7 linked regions of the Macaca mulatta genome follow. The protein of the gene in region 1 interacts with the protein of each later gene in a pairwise test. Links are inferred from orthologs where the notes say so. Each region holds a gene or a part of one and is shown on either strand. Other genes may lie near its edges.

What was found.
Region 2: the proteins of KRT40 (region 1) and FARS2 interact in binary tests that used the Homo sapiens proteins (3 or more experiments, as listed by UniProt). The two-hybrid records come from large-scale screens. The link is inferred for Macaca mulatta from reciprocal best matches to the Homo sapiens genes KRT40 and FARS2.
Region 3: the proteins of KRT40 (region 1) and HDAC4 interact in binary tests that used the Homo sapiens proteins (3 or more experiments, as listed by UniProt). The two-hybrid records come from large-scale screens. The link is inferred for Macaca mulatta from reciprocal best matches to the Homo sapiens genes KRT40 and HDAC4.
Region 4: the proteins of KRT40 (region 1) and RWDD2B interact in binary tests that used the Homo sapiens proteins (3 or more experiments, as listed by UniProt). The two-hybrid records come from large-scale screens. The link is inferred for Macaca mulatta from reciprocal best matches to the Homo sapiens genes KRT40 and RWDD2B.
Region 5: the proteins of KRT40 (region 1) and SH2D4A interact in binary tests that used the Homo sapiens proteins (3 or more experiments, as listed by UniProt). The two-hybrid records come from large-scale screens. The link is inferred for Macaca mulatta from reciprocal best matches to the Homo sapiens genes KRT40 and SH2D4A.
Region 6: the proteins of KRT40 (region 1) and MTA1 interact in binary tests that used the Homo sapiens proteins (3 or more experiments, as listed by UniProt). The two-hybrid records come from large-scale screens. The link is inferred for Macaca mulatta from reciprocal best matches to the Homo sapiens genes KRT40 and MTA1.
Region 7: the proteins of KRT40 (region 1) and ATPAF2 interact in binary tests that used the Homo sapiens proteins (3 or more experiments, as listed by UniProt). The two-hybrid records come from large-scale screens. The link is inferred for Macaca mulatta from reciprocal best matches to the Homo sapiens genes KRT40 and ATPAF2.

Annotation. Positions count from the first base shown.
Region 1 is NC_133421.1:65,360,202-65,362,786, reverse strand, and holds the end of KRT40 (keratin, type I cytoskeletal 40), read left to right. Parts: intron 1-413; coding exon 414-634; intron 635-1,140; coding exon 1,141-1,240; 3' UTR 1,241-2,085; downstream 2,086-2,585. UniProt on the Homo sapiens protein: May play a role in late hair differentiation.
Region 2 is NC_133409.1:177,928,686-177,932,837, reverse strand, and holds the start of FARS2 (phenylalanine--tRNA ligase, mitochondrial), read left to right. Parts: upstream 1-1,352; 5' UTR 1,353-1,720; exon of another isoform or gene 1,721-1,753; intron 1,754-1,886; exon of another isoform or gene 1,887-2,023; intron 2,024-3,165; exon of another isoform or gene 3,166-3,307; intron 3,308-4,152. Other genes in the region: LYRM4 (LYR motif-containing protein 4), read right to left, coding at 1,011-1,096. UniProt on the Homo sapiens protein: Is responsible for the charging of tRNA(Phe) with phenylalanine in mitochondrial translation.
Region 3 is NC_133417.1:144,295,744-144,299,057, reverse strand, and holds the end of HDAC4 (histone deacetylase 4), read left to right. Parts: intron 1-679; coding exon 680-764; intron 765-1,887; coding exon 1,888-2,029; intron 2,030-2,366; coding exon 2,367-2,406; 3' UTR 2,407-2,814; downstream 2,815-3,314. UniProt on the Homo sapiens protein: Responsible for the deacetylation of lysine residues on the N-terminal part of the core histones (H2A, H2B, H3 and H4).
Region 4 is NC_133408.1:18,479,810-18,483,997, reverse strand, and holds the start of RWDD2B (RWD domain-containing protein 2B), read right to left. Parts: upstream 2,801-4,188; 5' UTR 2,654-2,800; intron 1-2,653.
Region 5 is NC_133413.1:20,954,097-20,958,375, forward strand, and holds the start of SH2D4A (SH2 domain-containing protein 4A), read left to right. Parts: upstream 1-1,479; 5' UTR 1,480-2,121; coding exon of another isoform or gene 2,122-2,167; intron 2,168-2,242; exon of another isoform or gene 2,243-2,423; intron 2,424-3,516; exon of another isoform or gene 3,517-3,618; intron 3,619-4,279. UniProt on the Homo sapiens protein: Inhibits estrogen-induced cell proliferation by competing with PLCG for binding to ESR1, blocking the effect of estrogen on PLCG and repressing estrogen-induced proliferation. May play a role in T-cell development and function.
Region 6 is NC_133412.1:178,885,956-178,889,455, forward strand, and holds part of MTA1 (metastasis-associated protein MTA1), read left to right. Parts: intron 1-222; exon of another isoform or gene 223-675; intron 676-1,304; coding exon 1,305-1,422; intron 1,423-3,500. UniProt on the Homo sapiens protein: Transcriptional coregulator which can act as both a transcriptional corepressor and coactivator. Acts as a component of the histone deacetylase NuRD complex which participates in the remodeling of chromatin.
Region 7 is NC_133421.1:19,597,943-19,601,442, forward strand, and holds part of ATPAF2 (ATP synthase mitochondrial F1 complex assembly factor 2), read right to left. Parts: intron 370-3,500; coding exon 325-369; intron 85-324; coding exon 1-84. UniProt on the Homo sapiens protein: Plays a role in the assembly of the F1 component of the mitochondrial ATP synthase (ATPase).

The sequences.
Region 1 (2,585 bases):
CCCTTCCCAGCCTCTGGTATCCAGAGCCTCTTCTCCTAACAGCACTATACTACCCCTCCCTGCCAAGAGCCCAAACTCAATCTTTCCTCTCATATGCTGTTGATAGTCCTTAAGCTTCACAAATAAGTCATGTATTGCTGTAGTCATAGTGGTGGTAGTGATAGCTGACATGTAGAACAGTGGCAGTACGGCTGGCACTGTTCTAAATGCTTTACACATATTAACTCTTAATCTTCACAACCCTCTAATGAGACAAATACTTTGCATATAGAGAATAAAACTGAGACTCACAGAAGCTAAATAATTTGCCAGTGGTCACATAGCTAGAAAAGGGTAAGCAAGGATTTGAAAATAGGCACTCTGGCCCGAGAGACTGCACTTCATGGTCCTTTGGACAATGTTTCCTCCTGCAGACAGAATCTCTGGAATGCACCGTGGCAGAAACCGAGGCCCAGTACAGCTCCCAGCTGGCCCAGATTCAGTGCCTGATCGATAACGTGGAGAACCAGCTGGCCGAGATCCGCTGCGACCTGGAGCGACAGAACCAGGAGTACCAGGTGCTCCTGGACGTGAAGGCCCGGCTGGAGGGCGAGATCAACACGTATCGGGGCCTGCTGGACAGTGAGGACAGCAGGCAAGTTCCACAGTTACTCATGATATCCCCCAGAGTCACAAAGAGGCTGATGTAAAAGAATCCTGTTTCCCCAAGGTCTGGACAAGTTCAAACCTCCCCAATGTGCTCAGGGATCTTCTTAAAAGAGGGCTGAACAGTGGCTGAGGTTAAGCACATGACACTAGAGATATTTTTAAAATATTATAAAGGCAGATTAATTATTAGTGTAACATTTCATACTGGCATCTCCCTTTGTTCCTGTTTTCCACTAAAGGAAAATCAGGAATAGGCCTGAGATAACATTTGCAAAATCAAGAAAAAATATAAAATTCTATTCAACTGCCACTGCTACAGTGAACATGAAGTGGCAATTCTGGGTGCGGAGAAGAAACAGGCTTCAGTCAATGCTATTGTGCAGAGTTTTTTTCAGAACATAATTTGTGGACAAACTTTGACATGGTTTGTCTGAGTTTCCATTTTATCAAGATTCCCTTGCTAAGCTTGGTTTAACATCAATTTTTCCCCAGGCTTTCCTGTAACCCATGTTCGACCACATGCACCTCGAGCAACACTTGTGAGCCATGCTCAGCCTATGTCATCTGCACGGTTGAAAACTGCTGTTTGTGAATGTTAAGGACAGCAGGTAGAGGAATCAAAGCCGGCAGCATCCTAGAAAGGAGATGGGGCTTCAACAGGGGCATCCAAACAGGAATCACAAATCCAGGGGACGCTCATATCCTGGAACTGCCCTCCAGGTATCCTCAGTCTTTCTGCTTTACTATTTCCTCTCCTTCCGGCTTATTTGTGGTATGCTGGGAGCCCATAAAGTGTTCTTGCTCATCTCCAAATAAAACATGTTTTACTCCTTTCACATGGTAAATATAGCTCTATGGCTGATTAGTGTTGATAGAATATTCATTTTATGGCAAGAGAATCATCTAAACCCATAACCATAGTTTCAACATACAAAAACCCAGGTTGAAAATATTTTTTAACTCCTCAAATACAAACACATTAATGAACCCATGCAAAATGTCATATATCTTAGAAAACAGTTGTGTGTATCTTTCTGAGAAAAAAATTAGGAATAGAATAATAAATTGTATTTTTTTATTATAAAAGTACTAGATTCTCTTTTCTGTAATTTGGCTGATTAAAAGGGAAAAGGTCACTTATGATTTCATCTTGCAAACAGCCATAGTCAATATTTTGGGGTACTTTCTTCTGGTTTTCTTTCTTATGATAGATTTTTCCACACAACTATAATCATACTAACATATGCACACACTTGTGTAATCTTTCTTTCATTTATGTCATCTAAGCATTTTTAATTCTAATCAAAACATAAGATTGTATTGTAGCCATTTTTTGTTTGTTTGTTTGTTTTGTTTTTTAATTTGAGGCAAAGTCTCCCTGTGTCGCCCAGGCTGGAGTGCAGTCGCGCTATCTCGGCTCACTGCAACCTCCACCTCCCAGGTTCAAGCGGTTCTCCTGCCTCAGCCTCCCGAGTAGCTGGGACTGCAGGTGCATGCCACCACGCCAGGCTAATTTTTCGTATTTTTTTTTTTTTTTTTTTTTAGTAGAGACAGGGTTTCACCATGTTAGCCAGGATGGTCTCGATCTCCTGACCTTGTGATCAAGGTCCTTGTGATCCGCCCACCTCAGCCTCCCAAAGTGCTGGGATTACAGGCATGAGCCACCGCACCCAGCCTGTAGCCATCATTTTAATGGTTGCATAATGTACCATAAGGTGCATTGATCTGTTATTGGACATTTAGGTTATAAGAATAATTATTCTCATACATTTAAGAGACAAGGTAGAGAACTTCCAGAATGATTCTATTTCCATATTCCTCCTCCTAAAAACCCTGGAAATTACATATCGAATAAACATAAGAAGACTCTGAAAGGTAGAAGAAGAAGCCAAACCACCTAAAGATATTGAGACCCCAGGAGTGACACTGTGGTGGGC
Region 2 (4,152 bases), on another chromosome or scaffold:
GAGCGCGGCCTACCTAACCAGGTGTGTTCCAAGGGTAGGCTCTGCTCTTATGACATCCAATCCACAGTCTGGCCAGTCACCTAAGGGGGCCTTGGGGTAAAGAGATGAGTTGATCCAATCCGATTCTTATGGGAATATGGCTCAAACTCAGAGAGGAGCAGGTAGTTAGTAAAAACAAAACAAAACAAAAAACAAACCTAAAAAAAATGCAGAGAGAATCCATAAGAAAATGATGGGTCACAACCAGCAACACTGTGAAAGCAGAGGTTCTGAATTACAAAAAACATACAAAGAGTAACAATAAAAGACTCATAGGCAAATAGGGAAGTGGGGAGGCGTGGGAAAAAGTGAATGTGTTATATTAACGATGTAAGAGTTTAGGCCCTCAGTATTCTGCTGTCAAGGTCCAGGAAGCGGGATCTCTGTCTGGTGAGCCAGGATAAACTGTTTCAGCTCTAAAGCTTGAGACGCTTTTTCCTTTACCGCTACACGTTTCCACCGTACCCTAAATAGAATGGATTTGATTCTTGCAACCAAAAGAACTCATTACGACACCCAGGAAATTTTAGGGAGGTGCTAGAGTGTGCCTTCAGTTTTGTCGCTGTGTGCAACTCACTGGCCACTTCCACTCTCAACTCTTCCAGCTCAAGGGAAGTTTTACATATGCAACACATTGGCCTTAACTTCACCAATGGCTGATTTCCATCCTTTTTTTCTCTTCTGCAGAAACATAACACTAATTATGCTCCTAGAACAACTACCAAGATAGTCGTTAGGGGGAAAGCGTCACAGGACACGAACGTCTTCCCTGATAGAAACAAGGGCTCCTCCCCGAGGTCTCAGAGGCCACACCTGTAGGTAGGAGCACGCTTTTCGATGGCGGAGCCCGGTCCTTGCCTCGCGGACGCCGGCGCAGGACAGTGGCTCCCAGTTCCCGGGGACATTCCACGGCAACCCACATCCCCGGTCCCCGGCCCCTGGCCCCCGGTCCCCGGTGCCCGCTGGGTCACCTGTAATTGTAGGAGCTGAAACGCTTGCTCTCTCTCAGCATCGCCCGGTACAGATCTAACACTTGTGCGCGACTGGAGGCTGCCATTTTGGAAAGAAAAAAAATTAACGGGTCCTCTTCGCCGAGGTCCCAAGTACGACCCAACCTCGGAACTCCAGCCTGTGCAGAAACCACGCACGAAATAAAATGCAGCGGCTCGACCTTGCCAGCGGGCCGGTCCTAAGCCTAAGCCGGCAGCCCTGCGGACCGCAGACCGCGCCGGGCGTCCCGCGCCGCTTCGGGGGCGGGCGAAGGCAGGGCTCGGGGCAGCTAAAGGGGCGGTGCAAGGAGGGAGATGCCTCCGCCCCGCCCCGCTCCCGCTTCCGCCCCCGCCGGGAGGCTCGGGATCCAGCAGCATCTCCACGCGGCCGGAGGGCGAGAAAATAAGAGGCCCGGCCGCCCGTGCATCCAGCCAAGCTCCTGGGGGACGGATATTGGGGGTCCGGGCATTCGAGGGACGTGCAGTCGCATCACGGAGAGCCTTTGCGAACCGTCTGGGGTTTTGGCGGAGACATTTGTGTTTCGGGGCGCAGCGCCCCTTTGTGCCTTTAGAAGGCCGCGTTGCCCGGGTTACCGAAGGCCGCCGCGTCGACGCCCCGCCCCTGACAGCCCCGCCCACGCTGGCGGCGGCCGCCCTCGCCGCTGCCTGAGAGACCTTGCGGGATTTCAAGGGTGACTTAACTTCGCCCGATCATGGTCGGCAGGGTGGGATTTATTGGCATTCCTTGGGCCGGGGGATGCGACGTCTGGGTGTGGAGGTGATGAGACAGGGGTTCCGTGGCACTCCGGCTCTGCTCAGGGCGACCTGCGTAGGGGCCTCCGGGGCAAGGCCCGCTTTCCGTCAAAATGGCAGCGCCCAGCGTGCACGGGTATCTCTGAAGTTGGGGTTTAAGATTCTTGCCCGTGAGAGCCAACGAGCCTGCCGTGCTTCTGATTTTGAAATACCTGGGTCTGGGTTTCCCGGGCGAGCGGTGGGTGAGTGCCGACCTCGTTGCAGCCTGGGGTAGGACGTGGGCGGTTCGTGTGGTTAGGGGGTTACATTGGCCATGGATTTTTTCCTCTTTCCGGATGTGTTTTTGCTTTTGAGTGAAGAGTCCCCGTGGTTTTGTAGTCTAATAAATGCGTAAAATGCAGCTTGGGCTCTAGACTTTGGAGAATAATTTGAGCCCGTTAGGGCTTTAGGCGTTCTCCAAGAAGCGGAGCAAGTTTTCAACCATGGCTTTCTTCAGAAGACTTCAACTTTTTTGAATCATTTTATTAAAGTGGTGGATAAAGTTGCTTTTTCTGATCTTTGAGCATGGGACTGGACGCTGGAAGCTTCAGCCAGTTCTAGTTACTGTGTTTGCAAAGCACTTTTCTTGTTTTTGGAATCTTGCTTTATGTAATCAACCTTAGGAAGAACCCCACCTTTCCGCACTCGAGCACAGCGAGGAGTACCTTATGCATAAAAACAAAACAACTTTGCATTAAAATCCATCTTTCTCCCAACCGCTTGGTCACGGTTGTGTTCTCATCTGCTTTAGTGTATTTGGTTTTAAAACGATAAACTTGCTGTATATCTAAGCAACTTTATATTTTCAGGAACTTTTTTTTCCCTTTTATTTATTTATTTATTTTTTTGAGATGGAGTCACTCTCCGTCGCCCAGGCTGGAGTGCAGTGGCAGGATCTCGGACTCACTGCAACCTCCGCGTCCCGGGTTCAAGCTATTCTCCTGCCTCAGCCTCCCGAATAGCTGGGATTACAGGCGCGCGCTACCTTGCTGAGCTAATTTTTGTATTTTTAGTAGATACGGGGTTTCACCATATTGGTCAGGCTGGTCTCGAACTCCTGACCTTGTGATTCGCCTGCCTCAACCTCCCAAAGTGCTGGGATTACAGGTGTGAGCCACCACGCCTAGCCTCTATTTTCAGGAACTTTAAAGGCAGGAAACACTTCTCTGACCTTACCATTCTTTAGTGTACTTGCAACCTGGTGTCCTTGCATCCAGATATTCTTATTAATCCTGATGCAGGGAGAAAATACTTTCATTAAGATACCTTTAAGTCTCCTCCCTGACTTCTTGACAATCTCATGTCTGTGATTTTGTTTTTGTTTTTTTGTTTTTTTTTTCAACAGGATAGCAAAACTTCTGTTACTTCCTGGTTGGTCAGGTCGTTGAGCAAATCTACCCTCGGGTTTATTGAAAAGACTTTTTTGAGGTTTCCCTTTGGTATTTCTTAAAGGATCCAAGACCAAGGCAATTGCACATTGTTACAGAGTAAGATTCAGAGCTGATTTCTCTTGATACACTGTTGTGTGCTGGTGATATGAAATGATATGCGGCACCTTAAAGCTGCAACATTAATGCAAGTTGCTGATAGAGAATGCTATCAGAGTGAAAAGGAAAAACTTGAAGATTATTTTGGCTTGTTTAAAAATAGCAAGGATTATGTTATTTATATTTTGCTTTTGAGAGTAAAGTTGGAATAACTATATACAATTGTTTCTACCTAATTATCAAGGAATTTAATCATTAATGTATATGGTATATCTAAATGACTCAACTTTGTTGTAATCAAATAAAACTTTTCCAAATAAATATGTATAGTTTAAATAGTTTGGGTAGCTTAGTCCTCCATTAGTACGAGCAATGGTTGCAGTTAGGAAAGTGATAGCTTCCCGGTTAATTCTGAGCCAAATCTTCACAAAAATACCTCATTATTTTATTTAAAATGGTTTACCAATGTGTTGGACATCATTGCCTGGAGAAACTAAAGGAAAATAATCATTCTGAAGCTACATCTCACTTTTGCACATCTTCACTGCAGAGATTACATAAAACAAAACAAAACAAAAAAAACTCTATTTGAGATTGTAAGTAGAATTGGGCCAGAAGCTGAAGAATGGACCTTACACATATGTCCTTTAATATGCATTCTATTCTGGGTTGAAATTTTTCTTAGCGAATATCTGTAAAGTAGGAGGTACCATTTAGGCATCAAAACATAAAAATTTCTTTAGTATTCGTTTATCGAAAGTTACCGACTACCTGTAGTTCTTTATGTAAGATCATTTATTACCTTCTATTAAAATTAGGGTTGTCAATGACCACTTAATGCTTTG
Region 3 (3,314 bases), on another chromosome or scaffold:
ATCCACCTGCCTTGGCCTCCCAAAGTACTGGGATTACAGGCATGAGCCACTGCACCTGGCCAGTCAACCATTTTTAATTGTTGTATTGCAAATGCTTTGCCCTGTTGCCCTGTCATTTACCTATAAACTTCTTCCCTGCTTTTATCTGCTGCCAGTACTTAGGGAAAAACTTGGTGTGCAGGATTCCCTCTGAGAGATCTGACTTCTTCTTCCATTTCATCTCCCCCAACCCCACCTTCCACTGCCCTGAAAGAAAACCAAGATCAGGGGATATTCAAACATTTTTATTTATTAATGAAAGACAAGGAAAAGGAAAATGATGAAGTAAGCATCCCTCCCCCTAATGTAACCCTGTGGCATCGATGGTGGATACCAAGCTCACATGCTGGTGCCAGCCCATTCCTGGGGGCCGTCTTTCTTCCTGCTACTTGTAGGAACCCACAAATATACCTTATAGTGCCCTAAAAAAATGCCTACATAAATCCACTTTTACAAAAAAGTTATATAATAAATGCCACAGCACATTTGACTTTTTAAAGTTATTTTTTTCTACTCTATGGGCAAATGCACCCCACAAGGGACTCTGTGCTCAGGAAACAGTTGCAGTCTCGGTACACCCCATCTAATGTACGTGTGGATTATATTGGCAGTCTTTATATTCTTACGTATTTTCTTCCAGCTTGATCCTCTCCCAGAAAAGGTTTTACAGCAAAGACCCAATGCAAACGCTGTCCGCTCCATGGAGAAAGTCATGGAAATCCACAGTAAGTTGCCTGGCCGGGTGCTCACAGGGGACACGCTCCTGGTGGCGGGACCCCACTGCCCCACATCCCTGTCCCCCTATACCCCCAGCTCTTCTCTATCCCACTGCCAGCTGCTTCCCCAGGCCTGCAGCAGGAGGCCTTGCTTTCAGCTGCATTTCTTGAGCTAGTAGAGACTCACATTTAACTCCCACTGGATTTTCGCCGGCCTACTGGGATGGTTCCATCAGCCCATTTTGTAGGTCTAGAGAATCAAGGCCCAGACAGTCTCAGTGTGAAGTCACTTGCTCTAGGTCCCCAGCTAGCAGTGGGAGCCATGGCTATGAACCTGTACCCTGGGGACTCCGGCCTCTTCCCTGGACCAGAGAAGCCCACGTCCTTAGATCAAACCTTTGGCCCTGCAAAGAGGCAGGATGTAGGCCCTCCGCGTTCTGGCACCGACCCTCAAGGAGTGGGTCCTGGGTGCAAGGGCGTGGCATGCAGCCTGTCTCAGAGGCACCTCCCACACCCTGTCATTGTTGCAAGCCCAGCTTGTCTTGCCTTTGAGATGACCCAGATGATTGACTGTCTACACAAGCAGGTGTAGTCCAGAGCTTGACTCTCCATTTCCCTGTGTGGGGGAGTCCTGGCCTTAGAGCCCTGAAGCTGACCCTGGGCCAGGCCCAGCCTTCCACATACACCCGCTTGTACCTGATGCAGGACCCCTCCACCCCCAGCCTCTGTGAGGGCCCAGGCAGAAGATCCCTCAGCCCCAGCAACAATCCACCAGCTCATCTTCTCCCAGAGATAGGAAGGCTCAACCCAGCAGGCTGGCAGCCCCCACTCCTGAGCTCCCAGGGCAGAAAGGAGCGTGGAAAGCCAGGCCCACAGGAGCCTCTGTCTGCAGTCCTAGCTGCTCCTGGAGGGACTCGAGCCACTCACGATGGGGAAACATTTCCAGAGATTCTCGGTCTTCGCGAGCTTGTAGCCATGCAGTCCTCTGCTTCGCGTCTCTTCAAAGACGGGTGCTTTTAAAATCATAAGGGATCAATCTCGTTTGAGGCTCAGGGTCCCGCAGGACCCTCCCGGGCCGCCGTGCATCCTGCTAAGGTGTAGTCACTGAGCGACCTTCCTCACCCCACCCCAGGCAAGTACTGGCGCTGCCTGCAGCGTGCAACCTCCACGGCAGGGCGTTCTCTGATCGAGGCTCAGACCTGCGAGAACGAAGAAGCCGAGACGGTCACCGCCATGGCCTCGCTGTCCGTGGGCGTGAAGCCCGCCGAAAAGAGGTGAGCACCTGCCCTGCCGGCCACCTGCCCTGCTGCCCACCTGCAGGCTCACCCAGCCCCACTGTGTCCAGGGACACTCTGTTCAGGGTCAGAACATTTATGGCATGTGCCATGCCAAACAGACTAGAGACAGGCCAGCGGGGCCCCCTCCTTCTAGTGCCAAAGCCCCTTAGAGACGCATGAGGAGCGTTAGATACTGAACAGATGGACCCGGTGCCCCCGGGCCTGGGTAGGCTGGCGGGTGGGGCAGCGCACAGCCTTTAACCCACATTCTGTTCTCTCCTCTCTGTGGTCCACCTGCCCCATGCCCTGTCTCTTTCTCTTGCGGGATCCACAGAGCAGACGAGGAGCCCATGGAAGAGGAGCCACCCCTGTAGCACTCCCTCGCAGCTGCTGTTCTCTTGTCTGTCTGTCTCTGTCTTGAAGCTCAGCCAAGAAACTTCCCCGTGTCACGCCTGCGTCCCACCGTGGGGCTCTCTTGGAGCGTCCAGGGACACCCGGCGCACAACAGCCACGGGAAGCCTTTCTGCCACCCAGGCCCACAGGTCTCAAGACGCACATGCACACCTGGGTGTGGCAGCCTCACAGGGAACACGGGACAGACGCCGGCGACGCGCAGACACACGGACACGCGCAAGCCAAGCACACTCTGGTGGGTCCCGCGAGGGGCGCCGTGGAGGAAAGAAGCCTGTGGCAACAGGCGGCCGAGCTGCCGAATTCAGTTGACACGAGGCACAGAAAACGAATATCAAAGATCTAATAATACAAAACAAACTTGATTAAAACTGGTGCTTAAAGTTTGATTATTACCCACAACTCCACAGTCTGTGTGTAAACCACTCGACTCATCTTGTAGCTTATTTTTTTTTAAAGAGGACGTTTTCTACGGCTGTGGCCTGCCTCTGTGAACCATAGCGGTGTGCGGTGGGGGGTCTGCACCCGGGTGGGGGATGGAGTGACCTTTAAAGAAAACAAAACTGGACAGAAACAGGAATGTGAGCCTGGGGGAGCTGGCTTGAGTTTCTCAAAGCCATCGGAAGATGCGAGTTTGTGCCTTTTTTTTATTGCTCTGGTGGATTTTTGTGGCTGGGTTTTCTGAAGTCTGAGGAACAATGCCTTAAGAAAAAACAAACAGCAGGAATTGGTGGGACAGTTTCCTGTGGCCAGCCGAGTCTGGCAGTGCTGGCACCGCGAGCTGGCCTGACGCCCCAAGCACGGGTACCAGCCGTCATCTCCGGGGCCAGGGGCTGCAGCCCGGCGGTCCCTGTTTTGCTTTATCGCTGTT
Region 4 (4,188 bases), on another chromosome or scaffold:
GGATGAGAGGGTTGCTGTGATGATTAGATGAGAATTTGTGGAAAGTGCCTGGCAACAAAGTAAATTTTATGTGTGCTTGCTGCTATTATTATTAATTTAAAAACCTTTTTTTTTTTTTGAGACAAGGTCTAGCTCTGTCACCCAGGCCAGAGTGCAGAGTTGGTTCACTACAACCTCTGCTTTCTGGGTTTTTTAGTAGAGATGGGGTTTTACCACATTGGCCAGGCTGGTCTTGAACTCTTGCCCTTGTGATCCACCCGCCTTGGCCTCCCAAAGTGCTGGGATTACAGGCATGAGCCACGGTGTCGGGCCGCTTATTACTATTATTATTATTGGTCATCATTTCTTTTTTTGTTTGTTTTTGAGACGTAGTCTTGCTCTGTCACCCAGGCCGGAGTGCAGTGGCACGATCTCGGCTCACTGCAAGCTCTGCCTCCTGGGTTCACGCCATTCTCCTGGCTCAGCCTCCCAAGTAGCTAGAACTACAGGTGCCCGCTACCATGCCCGGCTAATTTTTTGTAGTTTTGGTAGAGATGGGGTTTCACTGTGTTAGCCAGGATGGTCTCGATCTCCTTTATCTTGTGATCCACCCGTCTCGGCCTCCCAAAGTGCTGGGATTACAGGCGTGAGCCACCAAGCCCGGCCTGGTCATCATTTCAACAAATGTTTCTAAAGCACTTACGTTCAAGCATTGGCACTAAGATAACAATGAATGAAAGTAATAAAACAACTCTACTGGTGGGAGGATACCATGACATCAAAAACAAATTTATATGCCCAGCCCAGGTGCGGTGGCTCACGCCTGTAATCACAGCACTTTGGGAGGATGAGATGGGCGGATTACCTGAGGTCAGGAGTTTGAGACCAGCCTGGCCAACATGATGAAACCCCATCTCTACTAAAAATACAAAAATTAGCCAGGTGTGGTCGCACACGCCTGTAGTCCCAGCTACTAGGGAGGCTGAGGCAGGAGAATCACTTGAACTGGGGAGGCAGAGGTTGCAGTGAGCTAAGATCATACTACTGCACTCCAGCCTGGGCAACATGTGAGACTGTTTCAAAAAAAACAAAAAAGAATTTTTATATCCAGTAAATAACTGCTGTGAAGAAACCTGAAGAAAACAAGGACAAGGGAAACAATAAGGCAGCAGGGGGGTGAGACTGCACAAGGGGTCGTCAGGAAAGGCCTTTCTCCTAAGGTGACTGTAGGGAAGAGACTTTAAGGAACTGAAAAGGAGGCCATGTGTTTTTCTTGGCCAAGAGTGTTCGAGGGAAAGTGAACAGCATGTTCAAATGCCTTGAGGTAGGAGGGTGCTAGAGCAGCTGGCCAGCGCACAGTGAGCTGGGGACAGGGGGAATGAAAGAGTTTAGTAAGGAAAGGTGGGGCAGTTTATGTTGGGACTAGTAAAGCATGGCCAGAATTTTGAATTTTATCCCGACTGATACGTAAGAGCTACAAGAGAGGTTTGACTTACGAAGATCCCCACACTTGCTGCTACGGAGAAAAGTGAAAGGAAAAGTGGGGTAACCAGATAGACACCGCAATAACTAGGGAGAGAGGATGGTGGCTTGGATAGGATTATAGTGGTCAAGTTGGTAAACTTCAGGTTCTGGATACATGGAGAGAAAAGAGGCAACAGGATTTACAGATGAATTACATGAGACACGGAAGAATGACTCCAAGGCGTTAAGCTACTGAAAGTATGGATGTGCCATTTATTTGGACGGTGTGGTCATGGAGAGCTTCAGGAGAGCTTCATGGAGAGCTGAAGTAATGAAGCGCCTACTAAGACACTGTTAGTTAAATAGAGATGCCTAGCATGCAGTTAGATATACAGTTTTGGAGTCTACGAGAGACTGAGCTACAGATATAATTTTGGGAGTCAACACTTATTTGGAGCTATATATTTGTTTAAAGTCTCCCAGGGAGTGAGCAAAGTCGGGAGAGGGTCCTATCGAATTGTAGGTAGCAAAGATGAAATGGAATAGCGAAGAAGTACGGGACGGAGGGACTCTTGATTGGATAACTACGGGAGTGATGTCACAGGTCATTTATCTGCCAAACTATTTTCGCTTAAGAGATTTCAGTCCTTCCAAAAAACCCTCAAGATAATTTTATGACTCAAGATTTCAGCGAATGCTGTAAGGAAATAGACTGTAGCCGGGCGCGGTGGCTCACGCTTGTAATCCCAGCACTTTGGGAGAAAGGGGGATTGCTTAAGCCCAATTGTTCAAGACCAGCCTGGCTAACACAGGGAGACCTCGCCTTTACTATTATTTAAAATATATATATATATTTAAGAGAACGTAGACTGAAACTTGCTATTTCTGAGTGGAATAATATCTTTTCCTTGCAGATTTTTTTTTTTTGAAAAACGGAGCACGGTACCCCGCGACCCAAGCCACGAAGCTCTCAGGAAGAATGCCCAGCACGCAGCCACCCTCGCACCCTGATTGCCCTCGGGGCGAGGTCGCCGGCTGGAGCGGGGCTGCTGAAGCCGGGAAGCAACGCCGAGGTCCAAACCGACCGATGGGCGCCTGCAGTGAGGGGAGGCGGGCAGCCATGCCGGGAACGTTCCCAAAGTGTTGCGCCCGGCGCTGCAGCGTGGGAAACCCCCGTGACGCTCGCCACTGGCGCTGAGGCGAGACTAACCTTGAGTCGCGGCCCCCTCACTGCTGTAACCCGGGTTCCATGGCTGCACGGACAGCTCAATTTTCACCGGAAGGAAACCTCAAAATTCTAGTATACTGCGACCCAAAACTCACAAACCGCCTCACCTAGCGGCCTATCAGAAAAAACAAGGCGCACGGCGCATGCGCGCGCAGGGCCGCGGCCGGAAGCTAGAGCTGGCCGGTCGGGCGCCGGGTCCGCCAGTGTTTGTGTACGCAGCTGGAACGACTAAGGGAATGCTTTGTCCCTGCTAGGTACTTCTCAGTCGCAGAGTTTTCTTCTTCTTCTTCTTTTTTTTTTTCTTTTTTTTTTGAGACGGAGTCTCGCTCTGTCCCCCAAGCTGGAGTGCAGTGGCGCGATCTCGGCTCACAGCAGCCTTCGCCTCCCGGGTTCGGGTTCAAGCGATTCTCCTGCCTCGGCCTCCCGAGTAGCAAGGATTACAGGCGCCCACCACCATGCCCAGATAATTTTTGTATTTTTTAGTAGAGACGGGGGTTTCACCATGTTGGCCAGGCTGGTCTCGAACTCCTGACCTCAGGCGATCCGCCACCCCTGGCCTCCCAAAGTGCTGGGATTACAGGCCTGAGCCACCGCTCCCGGCTGGAGTTTTTCTTCTTAATAACTCTCCATGCCAACCCCGTTGTCATTTCCCAGCGGCTGCCACTGTCAGTCTATATAGTGGGCTCTTTTCAGGGACAAATAATCGGTCCGTTAATGCTCCTCAAACTCGAACGTGCCTAGGAATAGTTCGGGAATCCTGTTGAAATGCAGATCAAGATTCGGTAGGTAGGGGCGGGGGTCCAAATTTTGCATTTCTAGTATCTTCCCACACAGTCGTGATCCTCCTTGTCCCTGAACCATGGAGGAGGAGGGCAATTAGGGAGATCTGAGCCTGGATGCATGGTGGCCTTAGCTATCTTAGGTGTTCTCGCCCATTAACCAAGCTGGGAGGAACCGTGTGAATGCATATTTTTCCCTCTTAATAAAAGGGTAGTTTGAAGGAGATGCTGACAGGAGGGTAATTGGAAATGTTTTTCTTCCCAATCCAACTATATGGAATACACCTTATAATATTTATTTTAGAAGTGTCATGGATACGATTTGTAAACACTGACATTTAGCAATACTAAATATCACTGCTAGCTCTCCCCCCCCACCCCTGCCGCTTTTTTTTTAAACAAAAAGACGACAGTATGTATTGTAGGTGTTCATAAACTACATCTTCTGCATGGTGTTTCATGAGCATTTTTCAATGTAATAATTTATTTTTTCCTCCAACATTTATTATGAAAAAATTCAAGTGTAAAGCAAAGTCGAGAGAATTTTACAGTGGAGCAGATCTCAAAAGAAGGGGAAGGACGGATTTCCCCTCTATTTAGCAGTGTCTGAAGACATTTTGGGTTGTCACAACTGGAAGGATGCTATTGGCATGGAGTAGGTAGAGCCCAGGGATGCTCCTCAACTTCCTACAATGAACAGGACATCCCGTGACGATAACAAATTTGCTGGTTCAAAAT
Region 5 (4,279 bases), on another chromosome or scaffold:
AGTGAAACTCCATCACACACACACACACACACACACAAAAAAAAATTATTATTGTCTACTTTTGAAATTAAGGGAAAAACATCGAGCTTTTCTCTTCCAGACCATGCCAATTAAAAGGAAATTCCAGGAGTCAGGAGAAAGGGAACAAAAAGAGAATGTGGTAGAGGCGAGGGTAGACCAAGTAAAGAAGATGGAGAAGAAACTATAGAAATAAGAGAAGAAGAGATCATGCCAAATACAGGAAAGAGGCATGAGACAAGAAGGATGGAAAGGGGCAGAGAGAAAAGGGAAGAGTCTGGGTTCTGAGCTGATTGTGCTATTTGTGTACAGTGTGTGTTCCTTTGGGCTGTTAACATTCTTTCAAGATAGAAGCTCCAAGATGTTTCCTTACCTAATCTCCTAAGTGGCATACCATCATCACTTCTGCCGGGTTCTATTGGTCAAGCAAACCAACCTTTACAAAGTGGCGGGGAGCTATGCAAGGGTATGAATAACAGGAAGACGGGATCCCTGGGAATGACTTGGAATGTAAGTGGCATGGTGGGCAGAACCATAGCCTAGGGTGAGATAGCAGGAACCTGGAATTATAGTACCTTAATGTGATATGAACTGATCTGAGCAAATGTGTTTGAACACTCACCACATGCCAAGAGCTGTTCTAATCCCTTTGCATGCGGTATCTCATTTAACCCTCTTAACAACTTACGGAGGCAGACACTCTATCCAGAGAAGAAATTGAGGTACAGAGGTTAGTAGCACAGTGACAGAGCTATTATAAGGAAGGACTTGTCAGGACCTGGAGAGAGACTGGGTATGAGAAAGGTAAGTGGCTGTCACAGTGTCCTATGGGATTTTTCCAGATAAACCACCCTGTATAGTTAACCGATCCATCCATGCAGGGCTAGGATTCATTTCGACCTCGCCATAGTAGCTTTCCAGGGGCCAATCCCACTCCAGCCTAAAGCACCCCATAGGCTATCATTTAAACTGCAGTAGGAACTAAGCCTTAGACCAGAAATTTCTCCCTGATGGGATCCCTGGAATGGTTCCTAAATAGCTGGGTCTTGTTTCCTGACAATGCCGCCTGCCCCGAGGCTTGATGTGACTGCATAGCTTCTGCCGTTTGTAAAGGCGGGGAATGACGTTTTATGTTTGAACCCAGCAGGTCAGGCTCCTGAAGAGGTCAGGTAGTCTGTGGAGAGGACTACTGGTGTTTGCTATTTATTACATCTCTCCCAACACATAAAATCTGGGGTTCACCAAAGCAGGCGGTTTTCTTCCACATACTCCTCTAGGATGGAAAATGCCCTCCAGTGGAAATGCCTTTCCACTCTGCTTCTGCTGAATTTTCCTCCAAGATTTCCTCTAACTGTGGACTGCCAGCTCCTCCCTGATGTCTTCAGGCCCCAACCCAACCTGTTCTTGTTGCAATCCACAAGACTCCTTTCAGCATCTTAACTTTTTCCCCAGTTTTCTTTCATTTTCTCCTGGTCTGTGTTGACTGCGGTCTCCTTCTCAGCCTTTTCCGTCCTTCATCTTGTCCTACAAAGCCACACCTGTACCGACAAGTGCCAAAGAGTTTGATCATTTACTTAATGTCAACAAAAGAAAGAAAAAAAAAGCTCTAGAGTCGCCTTGGCCTGCGGCACCCAAGCCGAGTGAACAAGTGGGGCCCGCGCACCCTCCTACCCTCCACCTCGCATGGAACCCCGAGCTCTGAAACATGGAAAGGCCCAGACCTGCTGATTTAATCTAAGTCCTGCAGTCCCCAAGAGATCATAGACTGCAGATCCCAGTCCCACGAACTAAGAGAGGAGAGGAGCAAGGCTACCCCGGACTACCGCAGCTCGGGGACAGCGCGCAGACCAGGCGGCCCGAGATGCGCAGGCCACGCAGCCTGGCCGACGACTGTCCCTGGAGAGCCTCCAGGCGCCCGGGTGGGGCCGCGATCGCGCCCCGCTAGTCACCCGGCATGTGGGCGCGGCGGGGCGGCGCGGGCGGGCCGGCTGCAGGAGCTGTTTGGCGTCCCGGTCAGAGTATTTGCTCAGCCCGCCTGCGCCGCTTGGGACGCTTCTGCCTTTCCCTCCCTCCCTTCCCCGACGGCTTCTGGCGGCCAAGTGGATGTGGCGGGTGATCGGGCCACCCTGCCCAGGGGCGCCCAGCACTGGTAGGTGCTGGGGTTGGGGAGAGGCTTTGGCGAGAGTGTGCATGGGGTGGGAGTAGGGGGAAGGGAATTTCCTCGGGGGTTGCAGGGGTGCATGGGAGGCGCAGGGGCCAGAGGGGGCGGGCGGAAGCCTCACCCCCGCCTCCACCCCTTCGCGCCGCCCGGGGCGGGCTCAGGTGCGGGGTTAGGCGGCTAGAGCGGCTGCGGCGGGTATCCGGTGTCCGGTGTCCGGTGTCCGGTGACTGGAGCCGCTGGCTAGGTGAGCGGCTGTCCCCGGGGTCTGGGGGCTTGCAAGGGGTGGCGGGGGGAACTTCGAGGGAGAGGGTCTGCCGGAGCTGAGGACTTTCGGGGAAGTTCTGGGATCCGGCGGGGACACGCGGCGCGTGCTTCTACCCGCAGGGAGTGCAGGCCCCGGGAGGGTCCGGGCTGGACTGGAGTTTCTAGACTCCTAGCAGGAGCACGTCCTGGACCTGCGCCTGGAGATCTTCCAAGAGGGAAGTCCCGGGAAACAGTGGCAGCCGGCGCAGCACCCCGGCAGCGCGTTCCCCGCGCGCCGGCACCCAGGGGCGCCCCCAAGTGGGGTCAGGGCGCGCGCGGAGGCCCGTGCAGCGCCGCCTCCCAGGGGCTGCTGCGGCGGGGCTGGCCCAGACCCAGACCGGGTGCCCACTGGGCTCAACCAAGCGGCGCCCCTGCCCGCTCCTGGACTCGGGGGTTACGCGGGCACCGGAAGGAGCTACAGTTTGTAGGTTTTCTGAGTTGTCTTTCCCTTCCCAGGGAGCTTAGAGAAACAGCAAGCGTGGCACCTCCCCCTTCCGAACAGATGCTCCTCATCGCCCAAAAGGCTTTTATTTGATTGCTGGTTTAATGGAAACAACGACTTGGGTACCATTATTTTAAAATAGTGAATAAATAAGTGGAAAGCATACAGGGGCATAGATTTGGCATAGGAGTGGAATTTTCTATGTATACTAAATCTGTGTGTACAGTAACTTCAAATTTCTGAAGAATAGTATATATTTACAAAACTTGCCAAATTGCTGTCATCTCTGGTAATTTGTTTCATCTCCAAAAACAGCTCTTTTGCTGGTAGATGAATAAGATAAAGTTTGAATAAGAAAACAAAGCTCGACCACAGAGCTGGCTGTTTTAAAAGAATTAGAATTCAAGCTGTATTGTTAATGTTATAGTTACACTGTCCATACCACAATACTTTTATTTATTTTTTATTTTATTGGGTAAGTGCAAAAGTAGTTGTGTTTTTTATGGCAAAAACCACATTTATTTATTTATTTAGGCCATAAAAAAACACAATAACTTTTGCACCGACCTAATGTTTTTCATTTTTGAGGCAGGGTCTCCTTCTATCACCCAGGCTGTAGTGCAGTGGTGCGATCTTGGCCCACTGCAGCCTCAAACTCTCCAGCTCAAGTGATCCTCCCACCTCAGCCTCCCAGGTAGGTCGGACTCTAGGTGTGGGCCACCACACCTGGCTAATTTTTATATTTGTGTAGAGATGGAGTTTTGGCATGTTACCCAAGCTGGTCTCGAACTCCTGAGCTCAAGCAATCCACCCACATTCACCTCCCAAAGTGTTGGGATTACATTTTGAACCACTGTGCCTGGCCTACTATTTTTATGATTTAGGCTGTATCTTAGGCCTTTAAAATTTTTTATTTTGTTTAGGTATCAGAGTTATCCAAAAGACAGTTGTATGGTAGAACAGTGTGAAGGTGTGAGAATCAGGTCAAATCTATGGTATCATGGAAAACAACAGATTCTCTGATCCTTTAGCAATTGCTGTTCAGAATAAATTGCAGGTGTGGGCTTGCTTCTTATCATTTCTCTCTTTTAAGAAAGGTGCTGTGTTAGCTGAGCTATTCCTTTGTTGGATCTTGAATAACTGGAGGTTTGCTGCCCTTGATATAGTATGGGAAAGTCCTCAGCATTTGAATCCGTATCAGCAATGATTATTTGTTCTCGTCAGGGAATGAAAGTGGGAAAACCCTGGTTAGTTAATTTCCTCATTTCTATTTCTTCTACCGTGGCTCCACCAGTCTCCTTCACTTCACAGTAGATTATGTCACATACCGACTCATTAGGAGTCACAGACTGAAC
Region 6 (3,500 bases), on another chromosome or scaffold:
GATTGTGCCCCTGCCTCGCCTCAAATAACCCTCACTGATGAAGTCCTGACGAACACGGACTCACATCACAGATAAGCAGGAGTGCAGAAACATCACACAGCGGTCACACACACACCCAGGCCCTGGCCGGTGGAGCAGTCCGGCACCAAATAGAAACCATGTGTGTTTATTAATTTAAAGAAATAGGCCGGGCGCAGCGGCTCATGCCTATAATCCCAGCACTTTGGGAGCCCAAGGCCAGGGGAATCACTTGAGCTCAGGAGTTCCAGAGCAGCCTGGGCATCATAGTGAGACCTCAACTCTACAAAAGTAAAAAAAATTAGCCAGGCGTGGTGGTACGCACTTACTGTTGTCCCAGCTACTCGGGAGGCTGAGGTGGGAGGATTGCTTGAGTCAAGAGGTGGCAGCTGCAGTGAGTCAAGATCGCACCACTGTACTCCAGCTTGGGTGACAGAACAAGACCCTGTCTCCAAAAAAAAAAAAAAAAAAGATCCAGGCAGAGTAGGAGCTGAGGCTGAGCCTGGCAGCTGGCCTCTGGATAGTCGTGTCAGTTCGAGAGGATGAAGGCCCTGCTGCAGCATGGCTCGTGGTCACACATGGAACAGGTGTCATGCTGGACTTTAAAGGTAGCTCTTGAAAGAAAAAACGCAGAGTAGCTTTCAGAATAGGTGAGAGGGAGCCCGGCACGGTGGCTCACGCCTGTAATCCCAGCACTTTGGGAGGCCGAGGCAGGTGGATCACCTGAGCTCAGGAGTTTGAGACCAGCCTGACCAACATGGTGAAACCGTGTTTCTACTGAAAATACAAAACATTAACCGAGTGTGGTGGCGGGTGCCTGTAATCCCAGCTACTTGGAAGGCTGAGGCAGGAGAATTGCTTGAACCCAGGACGCGGAGGTTGCAGTGAGCCGAGATCGCGCCATCGCACTCTAGCCTGGGCAACAAGAGCGAAACTCCGCCTCAAAAAAAGAAAAAAAAGGCAAATAAGTCATGGTTTTTGGGCTGCAGTCGTATCCACCCTGCCTTGGTAAGGGCTTGTGGAGCCTGGCCCCGCCCCTGTAGCTGCTCAGAGGCCCCGCCCCTGCTGACCCTCAGCATGTCTCCTCCGGGCAGGGTCATGGGGCAGGTGCATCCCCCGGTGACCCTCGAGGCCCCGCTGTAGGCTCCTCCCGGGCATGGCCGGGAGCTGTGGGGGCTCCTGTGCCCTCCCTCCGGCACCTGTGTCACCCTGCAGGAGCTCTGGGCAAGACCCTCCCGGCAGCCCGGGCGTGCTAACGCCTCTCTGTCTCCTGTGGTGTTTTCCAGGATTTCTTCTTCTATTCTCTAGTCTACGACCCACAGCAGAAGACCCTGCTGGCAGATAAAGGAGAGATTCGAGTAGGAAACCGGTACCAGGCAGACATCACCGACTTGTTAAAAGAAGGTAGGGTGGGCCGCCCTGGGCGTGGCGTGCTGCGTCCCGTCCTGCGCTGCCGGCTGACACACTGGGCAAGAGGAGGCTGGGACACGGCCGCCGTGTCAGTAACTCCTGTGTGACTGGGGGCAGCAGGTGCAGGCCTGGGCTCTGTCCACACGGGTGGTGTGTGTGGGCTGGTGTCCCAGAGCCTTCCCCCACCCACTGCTGGTGGTGGTGTGGTTCTGGGGAAGCCCCAGACCCTCAGGCAGGACGTGGTGGTCAGTTGTCCCTGCACAGTGAGACCTGGTTTCCTTGTGGCAGTAGTTTTTCTTTTTCTTTTTTTCAGATGGAGTCTCGCTCTGTTGCCCAGGCTGGAGTGCAGTGGGGTGATCTCAGCTCACTGCAACTTCCACCTCCTAGGTTCAAGCGATTCTCCTGCCTCAGCCGCCTGAGTAGCTGGGATTACAGGCACCTGCCATCACACCCGGCTAATTTTTTTATTTTTAGTAGAGACAGGGGCTCACCGTGTTGGCCGGGATGGTCTTGAACTCTTGACCTCAGGCCTCCCAAGGTGCTGGGATTACAGACATGAGCCACCGAGTCTGACCTTGGCAGTTGTTTTTCACTACTTTTTTTTTTTTTTGGACAAGGTCTAGCTCTGTTGCCCAGGCTGGAGTGCAGTGGTGCGATCATAGCTCACTGCAGCCTCAACCTCCCAGACTCAGATGATCCCCCCACCTCCGCCTCCCGGGTAGCTGGAACTACAGGCACGCACCACCACACCCCGCTAATTTTTTTGTATTTTTAGTAGAGGCAGGGTTTCGCCATGTTGCCCAGGTTGGTCTCAAACTCGTGACCTCAAGTGATCTACCTGCCTTGGCCTCCCAAAATGCTGGGATTACATGTGTGAGCCACTGCGTCTGGCCTTGTTACTTTTTTTTTTTTTTTTTGAGATGGAATCTCGCTCTGTCGCCCAGGCTGGAGTGCAGTGGCCGGATCTCAGCTCACTGCAAGCTCCGCCTTCTGGGTTTACACCATTCTCCTGCCTCAGCCTCCCGAGTAGCTGGGACTACAGGCGCCCGCCACCTTGCCCGGCTAGTGTTTTGTATTTTTTTTTTTTTTAGTAGAGACGGGGTTTCACCGTGTTAGCCAGGATGGTCTGGATCTCCTGACCTCGTGATCCGCCCGTCTCGGCCTCCCAAAGTGCTGGGATTACAGGCTTGAGCCACCGCGCCCCTCTCATTAGTTTTTTAAAGTTCTTTTTGTCTCCAGAAATTTTCTTCTGTGTAAATCTGCCTGCGTTTCTTGTGTTGCCTGTGGGTGCCCCACCCTTGAGGTCTGATGGGGCCATGGAGCTCTGACGCAGCATGCACTCCAGACGCAGGCGGCCTCCTCCCTCCGCCGGGTGCTTCAGCAGCCCTGGTGGGAAGTCCTGAGGCTCACTGTCACCTTCTCAACCCTGTCCCTCATCTCCCCGCTGGGCAAGGCTGTGAGGCTGCCCTCAAGACGCAGGGCTCTGCCCTGAGGGTCGGCAGGGACTCGCATCCCTGCTTCTTGTAGTTGTGATCGAGGTGTTTGGTGATTTTCCTCTTTTGGTTTGCTTTGAGAGTGGGTCTTGCTGTGTTGCCCAGGCTGGACCTGAAGTCCTGGGCTCCAGCGATCCTCGAGCCTCAGCCTTCCGAGTAGTTGGGGCTGTTTCGTGTTCTTGGTTGTCCATAAGATGCACCGGTGCCACCTTCCCCAGGCACCTGCGGGCTCTAGCACTGGGCTAGCAATGTAGTGGGCCTGCTGCTTTGCAAGCTCTGGGAGGTGCTGGGCAGTCGGGGACAGACCCCCCCTCTCTCCAGGCACACAGGGCACGTTGAGGCCTGGGTCAGCGTGGGGAGGCCGCTGTGCTGAGGCCTGTGGGTCTGAGTGTGGAGAGGCCTCTGTACTGGGGCCTGTGGGTCTGAGTGTGGGGAGGCCTCTGTGCTGGGGCCTGTGGGTCTGAGTATGGGGAGGCCGCTGTACTGGGGCCTATGGGTCTGAGTGTGGGGAGACCTTTGTGCTGGGGCCTGTGGGTCTGAGTGTGGGGAGGCCGCTGTACTGGGGCCTATGGGTCTGAG
Region 7 (3,500 bases), about 46 Mb from region 1:
TGGCCAGGGCCTCACTGGGGACGGTAAAGAGCTTGGCTTGGGGAGTTTTCAGCTTCCTCTGGTCCAGGTTTATCTCAAAGCCACCTTGAAAGATCAAATGAAAAACTCTCAGGGATTTGTTAAGTGGAATCAAGTGACCATTCCTATATTTAGCCACTTGAATTGGTGCAGACAAAGCCAACTCTGAGTCCCTTACAGAAATATATCTGACAAAAGCAGGAAGGATAATCTCACCACGGAACCAGCTGAAGATGAAAAATGTTCCCGACCATTCACAAAAAAAAAAAAAAAAAAAAAGAGGCAGTCAAAATTTCAGACACTCACCTTCACCCTGTGTGATGCTGACATTCTGATAAAACCTCTTCCTTTCTGTAAGAAAGATTTTTCAAAGAGGCAGTTTAAAATAACGTTGAGACAACTCAGGAAGCGACAGGACCAGCTTGTATCATTACTGCTAATGTTGATTGATTGGCTTGATTTTCATATCCCCATTCAAGGTCTGCCCTACTCAACATGGTATAATCAACTGCTTCTGATTAAAGCTGGGGGTAGGGAGCATCCGATCTCCAGGGAGGAGGGAGGAACAGGACATGCTGGTCATGCCTCTGCCAACCCCCCAGCCTGGGGACAAGTCTGATCAGGAGCATCTCGGCATGCTTTCCCACCCTCCCCACCACCAGTGCCACCCCATGCCAGCACAAACCTAAAGTCGGTGTCTGAGTGGGACAAAGCTAGAGACTCATTTCAGCCAAGACCCTGATGCCTCTAAGGAGTGAGTGGAAAGCCAGTGTGCCTGCGCAGGGTGTGCGTGTGAGGTACATAGGCAGGATGCAGAGCTCCCAAGGGCATTTCCCATCCCCTCTCTCCAATTAATTAACCTAATTAACCAGCTTGCTTATGTATCCAACAGGAACTCCAAACATTTCCTTCAAGAAAGGGAAAATCTGTGTCCTGTGTTTTCTTTTGAAATTAACTTGAATAAAATCTTACATGAAACAGTCTCCTTCTTTTAGCCTGGAGGGATTAACAATCAAGAGTACTTCTAAGGAATTATGCAGATTCCCTCAACTGATAACAAAGAAGTCACATTTTGGAAGCTATAAGCTATAACTTAGTCTCTCACATCTGTGACAAACACAAAACTTTCATTCATTCATTCGTTTGTTCACTCGTTCATGTGTTCACTGAGTTCTCAAAGTCTTCGGAGGCCCTAACTGAAGTTATTTATTGGAAATAATGATGCAGCATGTGGAGGAAAAAAGAGTAAATCATTTGCTTTATTTATTTATTTAATTATTTGAGATGGCTTCTCACTCTCTTGCCCAGGCTGGAGTGTAGTGGTACAATGTCAGCTCACTGAAACCTCCGCTTCCTGGGTTCAAGCGATTCTCCTGCCTCAGTTCCCTGAGTAGCTGGGATTATAGGCGTGCACCAACACTCCAGGCTAATTTTTGAATTTTTAGTAGAGGCAGGGTTTTGCCATGCCAGCCAGACTGGCCTCGAACTCCTGACCTCAAGTGATCCCACCCGTAAGCCACCATGCCCAGCCAAATAATTTGCTTTTAATGCTAAAAAAAAAAAAAAAAAAAAAAAAAAAAAGGCTGGTCACAGTGGCTCATGCCTATAATCCTAGCACTTTGGGAGGCCAAGGTGGGAAGACTGCTTGAGGCTAGGAGTTCAAAACCCAAGCTGGACAACATGATGAGACCCCATCTCTACAAAAAATACAAAAATAAGGCTGGGTGCAGTGGCTCACGCTGTAATCCCAGCACTTTGGGAGGCAGAGGCAGGTGGATCACCTGAGGTCAGGAGTTCGAGACCAGCCTGGCCAACATGGTGAAACCCTGTCTCTACTAAAAATACAAAAATTAGCAAGTATGGTGGCGCATGCCTGTAGTCCCAGCTACTCGGGAGGCTGAGGCAGGAGAATCGCTTGAACCCAGGAGGCAGAGGCTACAGTGAGCTGAGATTGTGCTGCTGCACCCCAGCCTGGGTGACAGAGCAAGACTCCATCTCAAAAAATAATAATAAAAAAATACAAAAATAAAAAATTAGCCGGGCATGGCAGCAAATGCCTGTAGTCCCAGCTACTAGGGGGGTTGAAGCAGGAGGACTGCTTGAGCCCAGGAGGCTGAGGCTGCAGTGAGCTGTGATGTCACCACTGCACTCCAATCTGGGCAACAGAACAAGACCGTCTCTTGAAACAAGCAAACAAAACAACAACAACAACAACAATAATAAACAAGCTTAAGTTAAAATTTCATTAATTCAAACAGACCATGAAAATTCAGGAGAAATTAGTATGTGTGCATGGAGAGGGAAGGGTAATGGAGAAGCAGGCAACTGGTTTTACTCCAAATATTTTTATGTTTTCCCATCATATCAGTTTTCTATAAATCTCATTTGCTATCACTAATACTTAAAGACAGAGGGCCCAAAATTGCATTCCACATTTGCACTTACTAAACTAAGGCCCCAATTTTTTTCCCACAAAAATATTTGTGTGTCTACCATGTGCCTTGGCACTTGGGATACAAGAGTCAATAAAATAGACAGGGAGTTTAAAGTTTTTTTTAGGATCAGATCTGTCCACCAAGATGATGCTGTCTTTCTATGGCACGATTTAGCACTTTCATCTGAAATCACAACACCGATTATCTCGTATGTTTTACACTAAAATTGGAAGTTTACAGCACCCTAGTGCTTTTAAATTTCTTTACATACTGTCCTGGTCAAATCCAAATGGCAGGCTAGACATGGGTCTGGAGGCCTCCTTTCCTCTCTCAGGTCTGGAGTGAGGTAGACCATGCCCTCCATGTTTTCAATGCAACAGGCTGGGCAGCATGTATAAAACCGGGCCAGGCAGGAAGTTGGGAAGGGCTCTGAAAGCTCTGACTCAACACTAGGGAAAGGGTCTTCCCACGTCAGCAGGAAGTGCCAGCAAGAGTGTACAAGTATACAAGAGTGAGCACTCTAGCATACTTCCAGGCCTGGTCTGGGAAGTGAACCCAAGAGACCTGGGCCAGAAGAACAGACTCAGGGCAGGAACTGCCAGCACAGGGCTGAACCTTCACAAGCTCCTGGGACAGCCAGGTTTCCCAAGAGGGAAGTCTTTTTTCTGTTTTCTTGGCCAGGCTCACTTCTGTAACTGAATAAGAAAAAACTAGACGGGAGTGGGATAGACGGAAGGCAGGGAAGGAGCCACCAAAATTGCTTAAAGCAGAAGAAAATCATGCAGAAAATGAGACAGCAGAAGGGCAAAAGGAGCCCAGGGGCTGCCAGTCCTCAGATTAGAAGGCAGGTACACATAGATGTGTTTTAGCCAGGGGCTCTCCTGAATGACCCACTGACACGTGGAGGGGCAAACGTGTCTTGGAACAAGCTTTGGTGAGTAGTGATCATGTTCCAGGACATATGGTAAGTCCTGGGAATGGGACATGTGCAAAGCTCATCTCTGCACCCTCCAGCCACTTACTGTGTAGTAGGAATACAGACCACTA